Saccharomyces cerevisiae S288C: one gene and its partners. Changing the gene in region 4 together with the main gene of any one other region gives a genetic interaction. Each region holds a gene or a part of one and is shown on either strand. Other genes may lie near its edges. The genes, in order: IME2, RSM7, MSS2 and RIM4.

The links.
Region 1: of RIM4 (region 4) and IME2, changing one suppresses a phenotype caused by changing the other (phenotypic suppression), as found in Saccharomyces cerevisiae (2 studies listed by BioGRID).
Region 2: mutations in RIM4 (region 4) and RSM7 together harm fitness more than expected from each alone (negative genetic interaction), as found in Saccharomyces cerevisiae (2 studies listed by BioGRID).
Region 3: mutations in RIM4 (region 4) and MSS2 together harm fitness more than expected from each alone (negative genetic interaction), as found in Saccharomyces cerevisiae (2 studies listed by BioGRID).

What each region holds. Positions count from the first base shown.
Region 1 is NC_001142.9:218,643-224,884, forward strand, and holds IME2 (protein kinase IME2), read left to right. Parts: upstream 1-2,747; coding exon 2,748-4,685; downstream 4,686-6,242. Other genes in the region: pheromone-regulated protein PRM10, read right to left, coding at 1-214; YJL107C (uncharacterized protein), read right to left, coding at 211-1,374. UniProt on the Saccharomyces cerevisiae protein: Protein kinase which is essential for the initiation of meiosis and sporulation.
Region 2 is NC_001142.9:637,696-640,488, reverse strand, and holds RSM7 (mitochondrial 37S ribosomal protein uS7m RSM7), read left to right. Parts: upstream 1-1,513; coding exon 1,514-2,257; downstream 2,258-2,793. Other genes in the region: YJR115W (uncharacterized protein), read right to left, coding at 38-547; YJR112W-A (uncharacterized protein), read right to left, coding at 2,321-2,630, 2,680-2,699.
Region 3 is NC_001136.10:265,219-270,476, reverse strand, and holds MSS2 (Mss2p), read right to left. Parts: upstream 1,557-5,258; coding exon 501-1,556; downstream 1-500. Other genes in the region: PHO2 (Pho2p), read left to right, coding at 1-255; TFIIH complex serine/threonine-protein kinase subunit KIN28, read right to left, coding at 1,778-2,670, 2,752-2,779; YDL109C (putative lipase), read left to right, coding at 3,276-5,219. UniProt on the Saccharomyces cerevisiae protein: Required to stabilize mitochondrial cytochrome C oxidase subunit 2 (COX2) and to translocate the C-terminal domain of COX2 through the inner membrane.
Region 4 is NC_001140.6:55,133-61,275, forward strand, and holds RIM4 (Rim4p), read left to right. Parts: upstream 1-1,516; coding exon 1,517-3,658; downstream 3,659-6,143. Other genes in the region: SNF6 (Snf6p), read left to right, coding at 1-717; NPR3 (Npr3p), read right to left, coding at 3,991-6,143. UniProt on the Saccharomyces cerevisiae protein: Positive regulator of sporulation-specific genes and of sporulation. Required for premeiotic DNA synthesis and meiotic chromosomal segregation. May act in a nutritional signaling pathway.

The DNA of each region.
Region 1 (6,242 bases), on a different chromosome or scaffold from region 4:
ATAAAAGAACACACATCCAAGGTGGATATAGATTCGTGTCAGCCAAAATTTGATCGAGTAAAGCATTACCTTCATCGGCACCTAAGGTATCATGGACAACTCTTTTGTAAACGGCATGAACTTGATGCAGCTTCCAAAGGTTTAGACCTTGAGTACACCTAACCAATTGAACTTCGGAAGTTCTTGTTGTTGCATCACCAAATGAAACAATCATACAACCTGGAAGATACAAAACTGACCATCTATTTCAAGGACTCTAGAAGTCATAACCATATATTCTTCAAGCCTATGCGTCGGAGCACCATACATCATAAGAGCTCTACACATGCGTAGGATGAACCGGTGTCTTTGTAAAATGTCTGCAATGTGAACCGTAATTTTCGCTTCAGTTTTTAGTCTTTTCTTCAGTCTAGGCATTCTGCCTTTTTTAGCCTTGCCTTTTAAATTTTGTAATCTGCTACGCTTGGCAACTGGTACGTCTTTGTTTCCAGCAGTAGAAGAAATACCTTCATCATCTGTTGTTACAGCTTGTGAATCTGAAAAGATTGAGCTTGAATTTTGATCTTCATTTTGGTAAAGTTTCAATAATGACCCTAGTACTCCACTTTTCACTTGAGATGGAGGGGGTACGTATGTGGAGGTTTCAATAAACCCTTCGTTATCGTCGGATGAATTGTTTTCTGCATAATCATCAAAATGATCCACTGCAGGAGCCAGAAATGAATTTTTTGAACTTGAGCCTAACGTTTCGCCATCCGACGTACAATTTACGTCACCTTCTAATTTGAGAGCCTCCAGTTTTTCTTTATCGTCGCCCTCATGAACGTCTACGATTTTAGACGCATCAGCTAGATCGGATAAGGGAATTTCTTCATTACGGTTATTTTTTTCTATATCATTCTTCCCATTTTCATTTTCTGAAGGTATTGGTGCCAAGCCAGGGACCAAACCCCCTTGATTTCCAGTCAGGTTATTTATTATCTTCTTGATGAACGTCTCATCGTCTCCATCCTTACCATTGTTCCTTAAATGTGTGAAAGAAACTTTAGGCTTCCTCTTGTGGCGAGCAGGCCTATCTTCTTCATCTTGTCCATCTGTGCCCTTAGAATTATCGCTGGTTTCTGTAGATCTTGAAGACAAATCATTTTCTAGAGCATCCGTATCAGCAGTGAATCTTACATTTTTGTTATCATTATTAGAAATACCTAGATCACTGATGCTTTTACCACTTAAATTGCCTTTTTTGCTCTCGGCTGAATTGGAAGTGCGATGGTCACTACTATCTTCAAGATTCACTCCCGCTTGACTTTGCTCGGAGCTTCCCACCCGAAAATCTGACACAGGAGTGGTTGGTTTTTCATTTCTACCGTCCATTGTATAGCCTATCGGTTATTCGATCTTTTTTCTTTTGTTATTCTATATCTAAAAGATAAAAGTCGCACACCGCTAAGTAAGTAAGTAAGTGTTATATAAGATTTATTTAGCTACGTTCTCAGATATAGTAGGCTTAAAACAAACGTAAAACATAGTTATATATTAATATGCAATTCGGTTTATTTCTTTTTCAAGATTCTTCCGAATTTCGTCATATTGGGTTCGCAATTTTTGGCGATGGCTTTGCTTCGATATTTTTCGGATGAAAATAGTCAAAGGACACTAGAAACACGAATGGCGCGCTGATTACGGAGACGTCGGGCTAAGACAAAGAGGGTCCATTCGGCGTGCTGGTGGTACTGTGACAGATAAACCCAATGCCCCACTTTTCTCGAGGAGTTGAAACAAGCGGGACAACTGCTACGTCATAAAAATGGGAGTACCAAGGGAGGAGCCATAAGCCGGGTAAAATTTGGCGCTGTTTTTCTTAATCTAAAAATAGTTCAACAATAAAATTTGGGCTCCGCCCATCCAGACCAAAGCAATCTTCGGCCTTAACAAGCCAAAGGGAACGAAACCCAGACTCTACCATGCATTTCGAACATGTTGTAGCTAACTACACTGGTAACCCAGATACCTATTCTCTCAGTAGCTGTTTCACCAAGACTCCGCACTCATGGTAAGTAGAAAAAGAAAACTCTCACAAAAATCTGAGTGGCACAGCTTTTCCAAATACGCTTTTTAAACTTGGAGAAATAAAGATGTATTACCCGCTGGTGCCTTAAAATATCCTTTTCTCCGGTTGTCCAATAATTTATGTTACGGCGGCTATTTGAGTTTTTGTGGAAATCTCTATCATTAATAAATGTCAGCCTTGTGTCTTAAATGCAATTCAACAGGGAAAAGGCGCGAGACTTCGGCGGCAAAAAGCCACAGACAAGTGCTGGTTGCAAAGAGGTAAAGAAGTAATGTGTGTAATCAAATAGATATATTAAGGTAGCAACTCACCGGTCTGTCCATTTTCTTTTCCTGAATAACTTCTTCTGTCTTCACACATTCATTTCATTTTTATTTTCCAATATCACTCAACGAGAAAGAAGTTACAAGATCTATCTTTCAAAATAGTTTACAGTTACCTTTACTTTACCCTTTCCCTTTTCAGTTTGTTACCCCTTCTCCTAAAAGTTTTATTTTTTGGGTAAAGATATAAAGGACACTCCAGTCGGTTAAGGTGGCTGTCTAGAGAATATAAACCTGTATTTATTTACCAGGCTTATCAGAAAAGTTAATCGTGTTCTTAAATATTCATTGAAAAGGAACGTGATACAGACGTAATAAAAGAAGAGTACTAAGCTTAACTTAATAGGTCATTTATGGTTGAAAAACGTAGTAGACAGAGTTCCAGTAGTGGCTCAGAGTTCAGTGTTCCACCTGATGTCGATAACCCGCCACTTTCTATCCCTTTGAAGACTTTATCAGACAGATATCAGCTGATCGAAAAACTAGGTGCAGGATCATTTGGTTGTGTAACTTTAGCCAAAGCGCAATTTCCTTTATCGAACATATTGGGTAAACAACATGATATAAGGGGTACTTTAATGGATCAGCCTAAAAATGGTCACCAAAACTATATAACAAAGACACAAGGTGTAGTGGCTATAAAGACAATGATGACAAAACTGCATACACTCCAGGATTATACGAGGGTCAGAGAAATTAAGTTCATACTGGCAATCCCAGCGAATGACCATCTGATACAAATTTTTGAGGTCTTTATTGACTCTGAAAATTACCAATTACATATCGTAATGGAATGTATGGAGCAAAACCTATATCAAATGATGAAACATAGAAGGCGCCGAGTTTTTTCGATTCCTTCTTTGAAATCTATTCTATCGCAGATACTGGCTGGGTTAAAACACATCCACGAACATAATTTCTTCCACAGAGATTTAAAACCTGAAAATATTCTTATCACACCAAGTACCCAGTATTTTGAAAAGGAGTACATGAACCAGATTGGATATCAAGATAACTATGTCATTAAACTTGCAGATTTTGGTTTGGCACGCCATGTTGAAAATAAAAACCCGTATACGGCCTACGTTTCCACAAGATGGTATAGATCGCCTGAAATATTATTAAGAAGTGGTTACTATTCCAAACCTTTGGATATTTGGGCATTCGGGTGCGTGGCGGTGGAAGTTACTGTATTCAGAGCTCTCTTCCCCGGTGCTAACGAAATCGATCAGATATGGAAAATTTTAGAAGTTCTTGGTACACCTATCAAACGTTCTGATTTTGTTAATACAAACCACATCACAGCTCCACCACCTGGTGGATTTTGGGATGATGCCAGTAATTTGGTCCATAAATTAAACTTGAAATTGCCTTATGTAGAAGGTTCATCGTTGGATCATCTACTTTCTAGCTCCCAACTATCCGATTTATCTGAGGTTGTCAAAAAGTGTTTAAGATGGGATCCTAATGAAAGGGCAACAGCCCAAGAGCTTTGTGAAATGCCATTTTTTGAAAACACCGTGGCATCCCAAGTAGACGCAAGAGGCAATGTGACTAATACAGAACAAGCATTGATTTTTGCAGGTATAAATCCAGTAGCGACCAACACAAAGCCCATATATTTTAACTCTTCAACAAAATTGCCCGCAGAAACAGAGTCTAATGATATTGATATCAGCAACAACGATCACGATTCTCATGCTATGTGCTCACCAACATTAAATCAAGAAAAACTAACTTTGGTAGAATTTTTAAACGAATTCGTTGAAGAAGATAATGATGATCACTCAATACCTGATGTTGGAACAGATTCTACCATTTCAGATTCTATTGATGAGACTGAATTATCAAAAGAAATTCGTAATAATTTGGCCCTTTGTCAACTACCAGATGAAGAAGTCTTAGATCATTCATTATCGAATATTAGGCAGTTGACAAATGATATTGAAATTATAAATAAAGATGAAGCAGACAACATGGAACAGCTATTTTTTGACCTGGAAATTCCTGAAAAGGATGAGTTTCAGAGAAAACAACCATTTAATGAACATGCAGATATTGATGAAGACATCGTTCTACCATATGTGAACAACTCAAATTACACACATACAGATAGGTCACATCATAGAGGTGATAATGTTTTGGGTGATGCCTCTTTAGGCGATTCGTTTAATTCAATGCCAGATTTTACTCCAAGAAATTTCTTGATACCTACATTAAAAAAATCACGGGAAAAGTTCGAGCCTCATCTATCCAATTCAAACCAACATTTTGGAAATGTAACCTTCTAATAATTTGTCATTTGACTGACGAATCGTTAGGCACAGTTATATAGTTATATACACATAGACATACATATGTTCGCATATATATTATATTACTATGCATTCACCTAAATAGCTACTGCTCTATTAATACAGTGCTTTTTCGATGGCTTTAATTTAACTTATTAGACATTACTTTGCGTTTATTCCCCTCCAATATATTTTTATGTTTGTTTTTCTTGAACATTTTATGATTTCTTGCTCTTGGCGGCTACTGATTTTGTTAAGCAACTCATCAAGAGGTCAAAAAAAGTAGAACGAGATCTTTGTGTTCGGTTACCCGGCTCAGATCCTAACTTGGTATGTTTATTCGTATAAGTTACTGTTGTCCACAGGCAATACTCTGCAGAAAATTAAAACGGCATTAATGCTAGGACAACCAGAACTGTTACTACTGTATGTGCGATAGTTGATAACTGCAACATTATGCCCGGTATATTCTCAAAAAACCCTATTACTGCATACGAAGAAATCGCAAGAGAAATCTTTCGGTTTGGAAAAGCTCACTGTGAGGTTCCTTGGAGCCAATAGTAATACAGCACAATCCAAGGAAAAATCTGGCCTATATGCAAGGAAGGAGAGATAGTCAAAAGCATTCTTTCCCCTAGAAGTTGGTGCATATATGGCATCGTTAAAACATATTACCCCCAAAATTTCTTCTCTAAACGATGTGCTTGGCCTTTGTTTTGGTTTTTGATGTCGGTCGTTTGAGGCCCCTTGCGGAAAATCGAGATCGCCGAATGGCACGCGAGGGAAGGGAAATAAGGTTTAAAGGCACTGAAACAATAGGCAAGAAGTAGGCGAGAGCCGACATACGAGACTAATGTGTCCGCGTTTCTAAGGCCACTTTTCAATGAAACGGATATTGATATGCTAGTAAAAGGACGAGCTCAAGAGCGAAAATATAAGTAAAGAATTCGAGTGCACTTGTCTCCATGCAGCAAGATTTCATATGAGTCTTTTTTATCTTTTTACTTTTTACATTACACGATATGCACTTTATGAAAATTTAACGAGGTTGGAAGCCGGATAATCAACCAAAATCAGGCACGAAGGCACACTCGTATATGCATGTTGTTGAAACTCTGTTACGCTGAACTAACAATCACACATGTAGAGGTCACCGGGAAAAGTTGCGACCCCATGGAAGGTCGATCTCTTCGTTTGGCTTTGCTTGGCTGGCGGCATTGCGCTTCTTCGCTTATACCCGTCTCTTGACGCTCGAGCTCGTTCATTGAGATACCTTTATTCTTGCACATTTTCTGGCTTTTTTCGCTACTCGGGTACATGTAATCATGCACACAGAAGGTGCTGTAGGGTGAAAGTTCCTTTGTGCTGTCGTTTGTTTTTAATGCCAAACTTTCTGGTGATCAATAACCACCTCTTTTTCCTTCAGGAAACCTTATTATTGTTCTTGGATAGTACTAGGAAGTATATAAGGAACCTCGATTTTGGTATTGCACGGCTATACACATCTAAGAAACTTTGTATAAAAGGTGGCTACCCTATTCATAGCTTGATATC
Region 2 (2,793 bases), on a different chromosome or scaffold from region 4:
TGTTCTTAAGAAAGGAAAAGGGGAAAATGCATGCTAATCACATAATGCTAATGGGCCGGATGTTATTAGTGAGAGGAGAAGAGTCGCTGGATGCTGGGGAAGCGGAATGAGCTTCTGCAGTAGAAGAACCATCGGCAGCGTCACACAGTACTACCTCGCTGTCGATTTCGTCTATTTCGTCGAGGATCCTGTCCAGCATATTGGCGTGGCCCACCATTTTTCGTAGATCAAGTTCTCTGTGGTGGTGTCGAGTAAGGGCGCACTGAGACAGCTTGGAACGTATCTTGCTTATGTATAAGTATTGCTGAGGTATGGTCATGTACGGAGACATGCTGCTAAGCGGTGGGTGAGAGGTTGCCAACGAGGTGGGAGAGGGGAAAAATAACTTTAACACTTTAAAGAACTTCAAACTCAGTAGTCGTCCCCTCACACTAACTTGATCTCCTGTATATATATATATGTGTGTGTGTGTGTGTGTGTGTGTGTGTGTGTGTGTGTTCATCACCTTACTATTGTATATTAATATTGTACGTGTATTTGTGAACATGCACGTTCACTACGCTGCTGTTATGCTACTCTTCGACAGGGGTTGAAAAGGGCGGCTACGTAAATTTTGATCTGACAATGCAGTAAGCACAAACACTCTAAAAGATAAGTTTGCTACGACATCATCTACAGGAAGATTTCTTCGAGAACGCTTTAAGGTTTTTCGCTTTTAAATTATGACCCCGTGGTGTTTGGGTTAAATTACCAGTTGATGCGGGGGGGGGGGGGGGGGGGTTATATCAAAGTGGGGAAAACCGACTAAGGGCGGGCTTCTTTTGCAGTTGGCGTTGTGAGCGGGCATTGTGAAAGAAGAGCCAGGGTATATGGAAGATGGCAGACCCGTGTGGTTTCGGTTAAGCTGAGGCAGGGCGGGCGCGGTGTTGCGGGCGGGGCAGCGCCCGCAACATTCGGCGACTCGACGCGCTGCCAGGCTGGAAAGTTAGGACGGCGGCACCCCTGGTGGTTGCAAGGGTTTAGCTTATTTCAGAAAGGGATACTGGCCAGCAAACGTATTAGGGGCACACTATTGCCATTTTTGAGTATATCCATGGTTGCATGGTCGGACGCAAAGCTACTTTGCTCTGGTCACACTAAATAATCGCGCGGTCAATTATTTAGAGGTATTGGCGAGACATATGAGCACATTCCTCGTCGGTTTATTGTCTCGTGGTCATTTGCGTTAAATGATGAGCTAATACAGAGAGCAGAGCCAAAATGAAAAGCAAAAAAAAAAAAAAAAAAAAAGATAAAGCGATAAACATCGAGCCACGTGACCATATATGAGAAATGATCATCTGAAGAAGAAACAAAGTAGTTCTATACGGCTTTAAATGTTCGTCTTGGCTCCAATCTACATTTGCTTGAGAAATAGCTTACTACATACAATGCACATTATACACGTACAGAAAAGACAGCAGCTATCGTTTTCAGAAGAAAAATAGATAGATACGGATCTGAGGTGAATATAATGCTGCATTGTGCGAGGAGGTATATGTTAGTCAGGCCACGTCTCCTGTGGCAAAGTGGGACATGTGTTGCTCGTTTCCAGTCGTCAGTACGAACACCAGCTAGCGAACCATCGGCAGAGAAAGGGGTCGACGAGTGGCTTGAAGCGATCAACGAGCTAAGGGAAGAGTTCTCTGCAAAAGAATACCTGCCAGAGACCTCGCTGGCTCCACCGGGCCAGTCCAAAGTAGACCTCTTACAGGGTTCACAGGCGGGCTCCAAGATAAAGCCAACTGCAGAGCAGTTGGCACAATGGGAGGCACTGAAGTCCGTGCCCATTCCTCCACGCAAGAACGCAACGCTGGATCACATCACAAACATGATCATGCGCCACGGTAAGAAGGAAAAGGCACAAACCATTCTGTCCAGGGCCTTATATCTGGTGTACTGCCAGACCCGGCAGGACCCCATCCAGGCTTTGGAAAAGTCACTCGACGAACTAGCTCCGCTGATGATGACCAAGACATTCAACACAGGCGTGGCCAAGGCTTCTGTCATTCCTGTGCCTCTGAACAAGAGGCAAAGAAATAGGATCGCGTGGAACTGGATCGTACAAAGCGCAAACCAAAGAGTGTCGAGCGACTTCGCCGTGCGTTTGGGAGAAGAACTCACTGCCATTGCCAAAGGCACTTCGTCTGCCTTTGAAAAGAGGGACCAGATTCACAAGACAGCCATTGCTCACAGAGCATATATTCAATTAAAGTAATCTAGTCTACGTAAACTTGCCTGTACATAAACACATTTATATGATTTTCCGTATAATCTCTTTTTATCGGTCCTGGTAGAAGGCAATGCCCACACCAAGCAGACTGCCCCAGAAATTACAAATAATATCCTTCACATCGAACACCCTTTGTCCCCGCGAAACCACGCTTTGGGCGAATTCACTCGTTACACTTGCGCATAATGAACAGATCAGCACCCCTAACACGTACTTGTTGGCCTGTAGCTTGCGGAAAGTCACGATGTCCTCAGCAAACATCTTTACAAACAGCCACGACTCCCACATGAACACGACAAAGTGAGCAACTTTGTCGTTAGTCGACGTGATCGCTTGAAACACTTTGTTGGTAGTGATGCCTAAGATACGTGCATACCAACGAGCTTACCACGAACATATATACATACGTTCTTCTCAGCTGTACCATTGTTTGCTCTTGTGGTCTTTGGGTTCTTTCTATGTCTACTTTTTTCTCTGTTCGAGTTGATGTGAAAAGAAGTATGTCGCCTCGCTTTTCGCCT
Region 3 (5,258 bases), on a different chromosome or scaffold from region 4:
GGCTCTAATAATGGACGTCAAGCTAGCAAGGATGATACGCTCAATTTACTGGATACTACCGTCAACAGCAATAACAATCATAATGCTAATAATGAGGAGAATCATCTAGCGCAAGAACATTTATCCAACGATGCTGATATTGTTGCAAATCCAAATGATCATTTGTTGTCTTTACCGACTGATAGTGAACTCCCAAATACTCCAGATTTTTTGAAGAACACTAACGAACTAACTGACGAGCATAGATGGATATGATGAAAATAATTCTGTTTTTTTTTTTTTGCGATTGCATTTTCAACTCTAAATATTACTCTAACAGTATTTCCTAATTATTTCATAGGTAACATTGTATGACATTTTAATTTTATTGTCCTTATTATTTTACTTACTTAGCTGACTTTTTTGAACATTATCAGATGGGTATATAGATATTTACAAGCTCGCGTTATAGGTGGAGACATGTGTCCTTATATAAATCGCAAAAAGAATCGATCAGACATTTAAAGCCGTGCTTTGTCCAGCAACTTTATGGAATCTTTTCTACTTTCAAGAAAGACATTTATCATTGTTTTCTTGTCTTTATCATTCCCTAGCTTTTTTACGCTTTCTAGGCAATCTCGTGCACCTTTAAAATTCTCTTCTTTCACACAGCAATCGAAAAATCCAAAGAAACATTCCAAGTCCATTATTTCCATACCCGTTTTGAACCATTCTTTCGCCCTTTCATAATTATTGAAATAGTTTAATTCAAGAAATCCTAATGTTTTAAAGCATTCTTTAAATCCAATTGATGCACAATTTTCTAGCAAGGCTTTGGCTTTCATGGGCTCTGAACTCATATATAACCTCGCTAACAGAAAGTACCAACGTGAACTTCTTTCAATTTCCAGCAGTTCTATACAACTCAGCCATGACTTTTCTGCCTTCAAAAAACCATTGACTTGCTTTATTTGGATTTCCCCAAGTTTTCCGTGAACTTCGCCTGCCAATTTGGTACTATTTTCCAATTTCAAGAACTCTTGGTAATATTTCTCAGCCTTATCGTAAGTTTTGTTTTCGAAAAACAGGTCCCCTATTAATTTAACCGTTAAATGATGGTTACGCGCATACAGCTTCTTTATGAATTCATTAGCCGTTTCAATGTCTTTTTCATAACTGGATTTGACGTTTTCCTTTTTATATTCATGTATCACGTTGAAGCTTAGGATGGATATAGCATCGTTGTTGCCAAGTTCGGCAGCAATATTCAATAATTTATCCTCCATAGCTAATAAGTCTTTGTGGACGAATTTGTTCTGCGTCCTTAGAGTTATCAAGACGTTTCGCATCTGCATAATGTCTGAACTCCTTATATAGGGGTATTTCTTCCTCCATGGGATATTCTCTTCATTAGTATTTTGTGATACCTGCAGAAATATCGGGTACATTTCATGGTATGTAAGCCTTGTATCTAACTGGAATAAAATTTTGTTAACCGTACGTTTCTTCGGGAAAATCTCTTGAAACTTTTTGGGTACTGGTGGTGTGGAAACAAACTTACTGACAAACCTCTGCATATTTTAGATCAGATATTTCTTGCTTTTGTTTTCGTTTTCGTCTGCTACTGTTTGTCTCCCCTCATATTGTTGTTGTTAAAATCTAAAAACGAATTCCATAATGATGGAAAAGAGTTAAAATTCAACACCAAAAAACAAGACGCATCAAGAAGTTTATTTGTATATGTTGAGGATACATCTAATGTCAATAACACAGATTCTACAAATTTTATAAAATCATATCAGTTACGTATTTTTATTGAAGACGGGTCACTTGGTGGTGGTAATTCTTTGAAATAATCACTTTCTAAACACTGAACAGCGGTCCACCTCTTTTGTGGGTTCATCGTTAGCATTCCACACATAAAATCTAAGGCGTATTCGCTAGCAGCAATGAACCTTTTCCTCAATTCATCTCTTGAAGGGGGCGGATATATTTGTAACTTGTTATACGTCATAAAGGAAGAAACTTCGGGCCAATCTCTATCTGTAGGTGTCCCTAAGGCCCTGAACGTTACTTCCATTTGATCGACATCATTCTGTCCTGGTAAATAAGGTATCCTTAGCATTAATTCCGCGAATATAACGCCTACTGACCAGATATCAATAGCCGATGTGTAATGTTTAGCTCCAAACAACAATTCTGGCGCTCTATACCATCTTGTTACGACGTTACTTGTCAGTATCTCATGTGGGGCCGGTATCGCCCTTGCTAGACCGAAATCTGCTACTTTTATCTGGCCATCAGGTGAAAATAATAAATTGTTTGGTTTCAGATCCCTGTGCAAAATGAAATTTCTGTGGCAATGATACACGCCCCTCAAAGTCATAAGCATCCATGCCTTAATATCTGCTGGTGTAAACAGTATTGATTTGTCTTTTATTACCACCTCTAGATCAGTTGGTAGGAACTCCAGAACGAGATTTAAATTATCATAAGCCATAAATATGTCTATTAGTTCTATGACGTTCGGATGCTGCATTTCTTGGAGGTACTTAACTTCACGGATAGCTGACATATCTAAACCATCTTTAAATTCGGATGTTTTGATCTCCTTAATAGCAATCTTTCTTCCAGTAGAGTGTTGACAACCCAAGTAAACAACCGCATAAGTACCCTCACCAACTTTCTTTTCTGCGATGAATCATCATTAATCAACGTTAGTATCATTATTGAATGTTAAAAGAAAGACGACAATATATAACCCCCACATACCCTTTGTGTACTCCATATTCACTTTCATATGTTCGCTCTGAGGCCGGGAATATTTTTTTTGATGACTTTTAAGTAACTGTGATTTCACTTGTATTTTTTTTCAATGTGTTTTTTGAATCTACTTGTAATATTCTCTGCACAATGCTTCAAATGAAGCTTCACATCATAACACAAAAAAAATTGTAGGTTCATCCAATGGACGAATCTTTCTTAAGGCTTATGCTTGAAGACCATTTCTATATACCAAAAAATTACAAACTGGCAAGATTGATGTCTTATTGAAACTGAAAATCTTTCAAATTAGAGGGTGATTTTCAATTACAATTGACAACTAAGCCGACTTCCCCTGAAACCGCTTCTGAATTCTTACAAATTTCTCTTGGAGGATTTGTTCAAGGTAGTGTGGTATGTTTTTAGCGTATTAACAGCAAGCGTTGTGTCTGCAAACAAAGAGAAAAAATATCAGTACAAAAAATGCTCACCTGACCTTATTCACCCAAAAACATCGGGGAAACGGTAGTAATATGGAAGCTGGCAGGAGTGCTGATGAAGTGCTATACCACAATCAGTCGTCAGTAAAGTTAGGTGAGTTAGAAAGATACGTTATTACATATGAGCTATACCAGGGTGATAGTATTCCCGCTGATATCACACTGGATTCCCTATGGGTAAAGATCAAAAATACCACAAAGCTATCCTATAAACCAGCCTATCTATTGGGCCCATTTATCTTATATTGTGACGTGCGAGCAAAAGATTACGAAAGCTCGTATAAGATCATATGTTCGGCGGATAAACCAGTATTTCAATCAAACCTACAGGCACAACAAAAGTTTATTGCAGAGTTGTCCTTGCACCACATTAAGCCACGCTATGTATGGATAGTGGATATTGTCAGTCAAATACTATTTAATAAAGAAACTAAGGTAACTTTTGAGATAGTAGTCGGCAATTCAAAGGCCTCTTTGAAAAGAAAAATACGATGTAATGATTCATTGCCTGATAAAGCCTGCAATATTTTACACACAGGATTATCGGTGCATAGACTTACCACCGCAGATATATGGAAAGTACCACGACCCATAGACATGTCGCAAAAATCCCATTTAGTCATTCTCACGCATGGTTTTCAATCAAACGTTTCGGCAGATATGGAATACTTAATGGAAGAAATATACAAGGCTCAAATGAACAATCCAAATGAGCGACTAGTTATTAAGGGATATATGAAGAATGCTTGTGAGACTGAGAAGGGTATTAAGTTTTTGGGTGTTGGATTGGCAAACTACATCATCGACGAGTTATATGATGACTCTGTTGGGAAAATTTCATTTATTGGTCATTCCCTGGGTGGATTAACACAAACTTTTGCTATTTGTTACATAAAGACCAAATATCCATATTTCTTTAAGAAAGTGGAGCCAATCAATTTTATCTCACTGGCGTCACCATTGCTAGGCATTGCTACCAGCACGCCCAATTACGTAAAAATGTCATTGTCGATGGGTATCATTGGTACTACGGGGCAAGAACTGGGTCTTAAGGATGGAAATTATGGTGATAAGCCCCTACTTTACCTGCTATCCGAGGAATCCTTAATCAGTGTGCTTGCTCGATTCAAAAGAAGAACACTTTATGCTAATGCCGTCAACGACGGAATAGTTCCCTTGTACTCCTCTTCTTTACTTTTTTTGGACTACTCTCAATTACTTCAGAAACTGGGAGGTCAAACTACGGCACCTTGTGATCCTCTCTTCCAGCCTGAAGTAAGTCCTATTGGGGAACTTCCAAATCATAGCGATGTTGCTAATGATGATGATGGAATCAATGCATCGTCATGGAACACGTTTTGGAAGAGCAAGGAAAATAACTGCGACAAGAAATCTAAACGCTTGATGAATGCTTCCGTCATCAAATCTATGAAGTCTGTGCTTCTATCACCATGCCCCGACGCAAAGTTCTTCTCAGATCCCGATGCAAGGGTCGCAACAATCATACATGATAAGATCTACACAGAAAAGAATTTACCGCCTCCATCACCAACACTTTATGAAGGAACAGCAGCCAAGGAAGGCGAAACGAGGAAGACGAGAAAAGAGATGGAGGAAATCATAGCACGCCGCTGGCACAAGGGGATGCATTGGAGGAAAGTCGTGGTATTGCTGAAACCAGATGCCCACAATAACATCATCGTAAGAAGAAGGTTTTCCAACGCTTACGGCTGGCCGGTGGTTGACCACCTTGTTACCGCCCATTTCCAAAGAGATGACCCAATCGCCTCACCAATGCAAGATAAACAGTTTGCTGAGGAAGATATAAACATGGCAACCGGAGGGGTGGAACCAAACAAGTTCTACTCATGGCTCACCAAGATCGAGGATCCTAGTGTGTACCATGGTGGAATAGTCTCCACAGCTAGCCAGCTCGCCAGCTCCTGGATTAGCAAGCATTCCTCTGTGACAGATTGACTGTCTATCTTGACGTCATCCCGGGATTGACTTGCAATT
Region 4 (6,143 bases):
CATGACGAGAGCGACACGATATCGTTCCGATCCAACCTTTTGAAGAACTTTATAAGCTCGAACGACGCATTTAACATGCTGAGTTTGACCACGGTACCGTGCGACAGAATTGAGAAGTCCAGATTGTTCAGTGAAAAAACAATAAGATATCTCATGCAAAAACAACACGAAATGAAAACACAAGCGGCAGAGTTGCAAGAAAAGCCTCTGACGCCACTTAAATACACAAAACTTATAGCTGCGGCAGAGGACGGAAGCCGTAGCACAAAGGATATGATAGATGCTGTCTTCGAGCAAGATAGTCATTTGAGGTACCAGCCGGACGGCGTGGTCGTACATCGTGACGATCCTGCGCTGGTGGGTAAACTCCGCGGAGATCTCCGCGAAGCGCCGGCGGACTACTGGACGCATGCTTATAGGGATGTTTTGGCGCAATACCACGAGGCCAAGGAGCGTATCAGGCAGAAGGAAGTAACTGCAGGTGAAGCACAGGACGAAGCCAGCTTGCAGCAGCAACAGCAGCAAGATTTGCAGCAACAGCAACAAGTAGTGACTACAGTTGCCTCGCAAAGTCCTCATGCAACTGCAACGGAAAAGGAGCCAGTACCCGCCGTGGTTGACGACCCACTGGAGAACATGTTCGGAGATTATTCCAATGAGCCGTTCAACACCAATTTCGACGATGAATTTGGAGATCTTGATGCTGTATTTTTTTAATAGCCATGGGCGGCTACTTCTTGGAAATATATACTTTCCTTTTACATATTTAGTATAGTTATACATGTGGATGTGTATGGAGGTAAGATCAGATAGACCCTTCACTGTTTTCTGTGTATTCCTTGTGACATAGTGGATTTGTGCAGCTACTGCTTATAGGAAGCAGTGCCTGCAAAACAATTCATTCGTTGGTTGATGTGGCGCGCTGACTGAATGTGTAGGGTCTGTTGTTACCCCCTTGCTCCGGGGGCCCACATCTCTCTGACGCGAAGAAAGGCTCGAGATGTGCCAGTCGTAAACACCGCCTCATTTCCCTTGCATTCTCCTCCAGTGAAAAAGCAGTACGACCTATCTCCGAAAAAAAAAAACCTCCTGTGCGTTTACTGTGGATCATGCAACACGATTTCTGTAGATTAAAGACGTTTTTGGCATGGACTAAGCTAAATTCCGTTTGATTAGCCGCCCATAACGGGTGGCAAACAACACGATGAAACTCTATATCCCCGCTTAACGTTTCGGCGGCTGTGATCAAGGAAAATAGTATATAAGTTCGTCGGATTTCTTATTTGTTTTCTCTCTTCCTTTCTCTCTCCCTTTCTCGTGCTTGGTTGTTTTCCTTAATTAGTTAAAACAATAAAAGAACAAGAAGGAGAAGGCGATTTTGGACTAGAAAATCACGAAGAAAAAATATCTAATTGCATTCCTATATATATTTATATACATACTCTCTATTGTTTGTTTTTTGCCTGCTCAAGAAGAAAGAAAGAAAAAAATATTATCTTTTTTAGCTTGTTGAAACATGAAAACCGAAATCAGCACTGCGGATTCCCTTCGTGATCCTCCCTCTAATGGTCTAAAGGCCGACTCTGAGCTGGTTATCAGAGAGGATATAGACCAATTTTTGCCTTCGGAAGTATCTTCGTTGGGGTCAGATCACCAGAATGATGGTGAGGATTCAGACACTGACAGTGACAACTTTTTGCAAGACCCTGAAGACGATGTGGATGAAGAAAGCACTGGTAGAGGTACAGTCACTACCACTTCCACATCCACTGAGTCAAGAGGCCGTCCATCTTCTTGTATCTTCGTGGCAAGCTTAGCAGCAGCCCTATCCGATGACGAATTATGTCTGTCGGTGACTGAAAATTTCAAAAAATACGGTGATTTGGCTAGAGTTAAAGTTTTGCGTGATAACGCAAATAGACCTTATGCTTTTGTTCAATACAACAACGATCATGATGCTAAACATGCTCTGATCCGCGCTCAGGGTACTTTATTAAATGGCAGAAGGTTGCGTTGTGAACCTGCAAAAGTGAACAGGACATTGTACTTGAAAAACCAGCAAAGTATTGATTTCAACGAGATCAGTCAAATTTGTGAAAAATTTGGTGGTTTGGAACAGATTGTTCCTGATAGAACTGATAATCAATACACGAGAAGATATACTTATCCGATATCTTCGGCAAATTCTTGGTTTGTTCAATTCGTTTACAGAGACGATGCAATCAGAGCTTATGCGAATTTACGAACTGATCCCAATTGGATCATCGAATGGGCACAAAATATAAACGTCCCAAAAAATTATAACCTTTTACACAAAAGCAAATTCAAAAGTTCCAAATACCATCAAAACAACGGTATTATCAATAACGATGGTAGTAACAACAACGATAATAATAATAGTAATAATAATAATAGAGAGGATTCAAGGAGGAATGGCGACGTTATAGAAGAGGAGTGCGGACATGTGCATGGTAGTGATTCAGAGGAAAAATTGACAAGCGATGGTATTTATGACGACGAAGATAAAGATTCCGAGATCACCATTGATAAAAGATCCATTTTCGTGGGTCAATTAGACAAAGAAACCACCAGAGAGGAATTGAATAGAAGATTTTCCACTCATGGTAAAATCCAAGATATTAATTTAATCTTCAAGCCAACAAACATATTTGCGTTTATTAAATATGAAACCGAAGAAGCTGCTGCTGCTGCTTTGGAAAGTGAAAACCATGCAATTTTTTTGAATAAGACAATGCATGTTCAATATAAAGAGGTAGGTGGTCGTCACAACAGGAAGTTCTCTGGTAAGAACGGTGGCAGCAACTTTAACCATCATCAGTTTTTTAGCACCAGATCGGGCAAAACATTTACAGGGCCAGAACTGAACTTAGCACCACCACCAATCAACATGTACAGGAAAATGAGCGGCGGATCCCAGCAGGAAAGCGAAACTATGATGCCATACATGCCCATGGGGCCCATGCCCATGGGGCCTCCACCACCAAATGCAGCAAGTCTCAGTGATTTTGATATGTTCCCCCCAAGTTACTCCACGTTTATGAAGGGAATGATGCCATTGAGGCGTAAATCTATGCCCAATTCTTGGTCATCCCCTTCTTCAAAGAGTGTGAACTCTGAAAATGAAAGTGTTAATGGTGGTGATGAGAATTCCGAATTGCCTTCCGAAATTCCTGAATCATCTGGTAGATATAATGCTGCTAATTCCTTTACCACATATAATAATTCCTCAGCAGGAAACTCTAACAACAACAACAACAACAACAACAGTAACAGTAATAAGTCTCAATATAAAAAGCGCTATGCAAGGAGGTCAAGCTACGGATACAATGAAGTACCTCCAAAACCATACTATTTCCAGCCTTATTACTATCACCCCATGCAATACCATATGGGCCCAATGGGCCCATTGCATCCTTCTCAAGGTTCTGCTGGAAATCACCATCCATATATGATGGTTTATCCCATGTCACCACCTCCGCCTTCTGGGTTAGATGGAAGCATGATCCCTCCTCCAATAAATGTAAGCCAATCACATGCTGCTAATCATGGCAGTACCCATGTTCATGCGAACGAATTCATATCAAACGATACTGGTGACATAAATGAAGATAACAAAGCTTATAGTTTAGATTACTAAAAATGATTGGTCGTAAAAGCTGCAAAAGATGTATGTAATTCAGCGGTGATGTTAACTTTAAAAGTGCAGTTTCGTTTTCTTTTTCGTCTCCCTATTTTTTTCTCTGGATCTTTTTTTTTTTTTTCACTTGGTATTGTTTTCATCCTTCTTTCCTTCTTTTACCTTCTTTGTCTCCTAATATAACAATACATACTTTCGAGTTTTGATTACAAGTCACTCGAAATGTTTTTTTCCTTTTATATATTCTTCCTTTTGTCTATTCTTATATACACATATTTTAATTTTTGGTAGATTTTTTTTTTTTTACTTACATTTTGTTACAATAGAGAGATTTACCAATGGTGTATCTCGATTAAATACTTATCTAGAGCATTGAGCAATTTCTTTAGGTCATGTCTGCTAATTTCCTCTTTGATGATAACCAATTCCATGGGGACCTTTCCATTGAAGTACTTGAGCAACTTGTTAAAAAGAATCTGGATATCTGAAGGCTGACCATAAATACATCTATAAAGCCATCTTTTTTCAATCGCAGTGGCTCTTTCAGGTTCCAAAATTATAGTATAGTCATGTTGCATTTCTGGATCATCGTATTCGAAGTGTAGTATTTCTTCTTCATCCGCAATAGCTATTTCATTGTCATCACGATCATCAACACGACTATCATTTTCGTTATCTTTTTCGTCCACATCTTTGTTGTTGTCGTTGGACTGCATGCCTTCATTCTTTCCTGAACACGCTTCGCTGGCGTTTGCATCTCTACTTTGCCCATCTTCATCATCCAGCTTTTTATCAGTTTTTTTGTAGTCCATGCTGGGCCTTCTAGCAGTATTAGTCTTACGGAAGCCTTCCTTTTCTAGATCCTCATCTACTGCCATTTTTATGTGTTTGTCCACTCGGATATTTATGAAAGTCAATAATTGGGTTACATACCCGTACTGTATTAACCACGCTAACGCGTTCAGGTAAACTGGCTTATGTTCCCTTGATGGGATTATGTTACTGTACGCTTGAGGTTTGTCCGTGGACAACAAACTTAAAAAAATGGGTAAACTGGGCAATGATGGGAATTTGGATCTGAACAACATCGAATTTTGATAAATTAGTGGTACTCTGTCGCTTCCACTCTTATTATTTTCGCGATCGTCCATTTTTTTCACGTTCCCATCATTTTGTGAAGTACTTTTATAATCATCTATTGTATAACCTTGAATAGGAGCCAAGGGTGAAACAATATACGTGTATTTGGAGCTTAGTGGGATCACTATTCTTGCATGTCTCCAATACATTAAATGCAATGCGCAAGAGCGCAGTATGCTTGATTCCAATGAGTTTGTTTCTGTAGTAAGGTCGTCCAGTGAAGAAGGGTTATCTAATAAATCAGTTATCAGATAGCGATACGACCTTAGAGGGATATTTGGCTGGATATTTCTGACTAAATGTTTCAATATGATAGTGCCAATATCGTCCTGGTATGAAAAAGTTTCGAGGGAGCTAATAATATTATTTGGCTCGTCCAATAATAATAGCGCATAGTTTAAAAGGTCATCATTGTCGTCGCAGTAGTAATTGCTTTCATTGTCGTCCCCGTCATCCACATTTGCTGCTCCACAGTGGCCGGTACTATTAATATTATTGCCAAACCTGTATATGTTATTATTGGTATCACTGAATTGAGCCTGATCGTTTTGACGATTTTGACTTTCAATTCTCAATGATGATTTTTCTAAAAATTTCATGTTCAAAATGGACGTCAAATATGAGCCTCTTAGCACGGGTTGCAGTTTGAAGTTTGGCATTTTTTCAAACTCGTTTTGAATCGGGATTTGCAAGGAAATTACTTTATCGTCATTGATCTCAAGACATGCGATTTCATTTCGTTGGATTTTATCAACACATTCCGTTAGCGCCCTAGCCAACGAAGATTTGGCTAAAATTCTTTGGTACAGATACTTCCCCTTGTTTCCTGCGCCTCTTATAGATTGGTATGTTTTCGAATGTTTCAGTACCCGTTCTTTTTCCTTTAAAATTATATGGCATTCGCTAGAAATGTACGAGGTTTTTGATTGCACATATCTTAACAATAATGATAACCTTGTAACAACAAACTGATACATGTCATCAATCCTTTTATTATATTCGATTAAATGCGGATTCATAACAAAGCATACATGAAACATGTTCATATTTTTGCCCAAGTCTTCCTTTTCTCTCTCAAATTCGTTTCCACTGACATCAGTATTTATCCTCAAATTCGGCGTATCAGTAGAAGCCTCATGACCAATATTACTGTCATAAACAGTGTCAGCTTCACCACTATTAACTTTCTTCAAAGTATTCTCACTCAGTGATGAAATTTTGGAAGCGATAGATTTCTTTCTACTGATGTTTGTTGTAGTACTCGAAGATCTTTTAGAGCGGGTTTTATTTTTGTGCTTGGATTTTCTCCATCTGCCTTGAGAATCTACATGAATAGGTAAGCCTA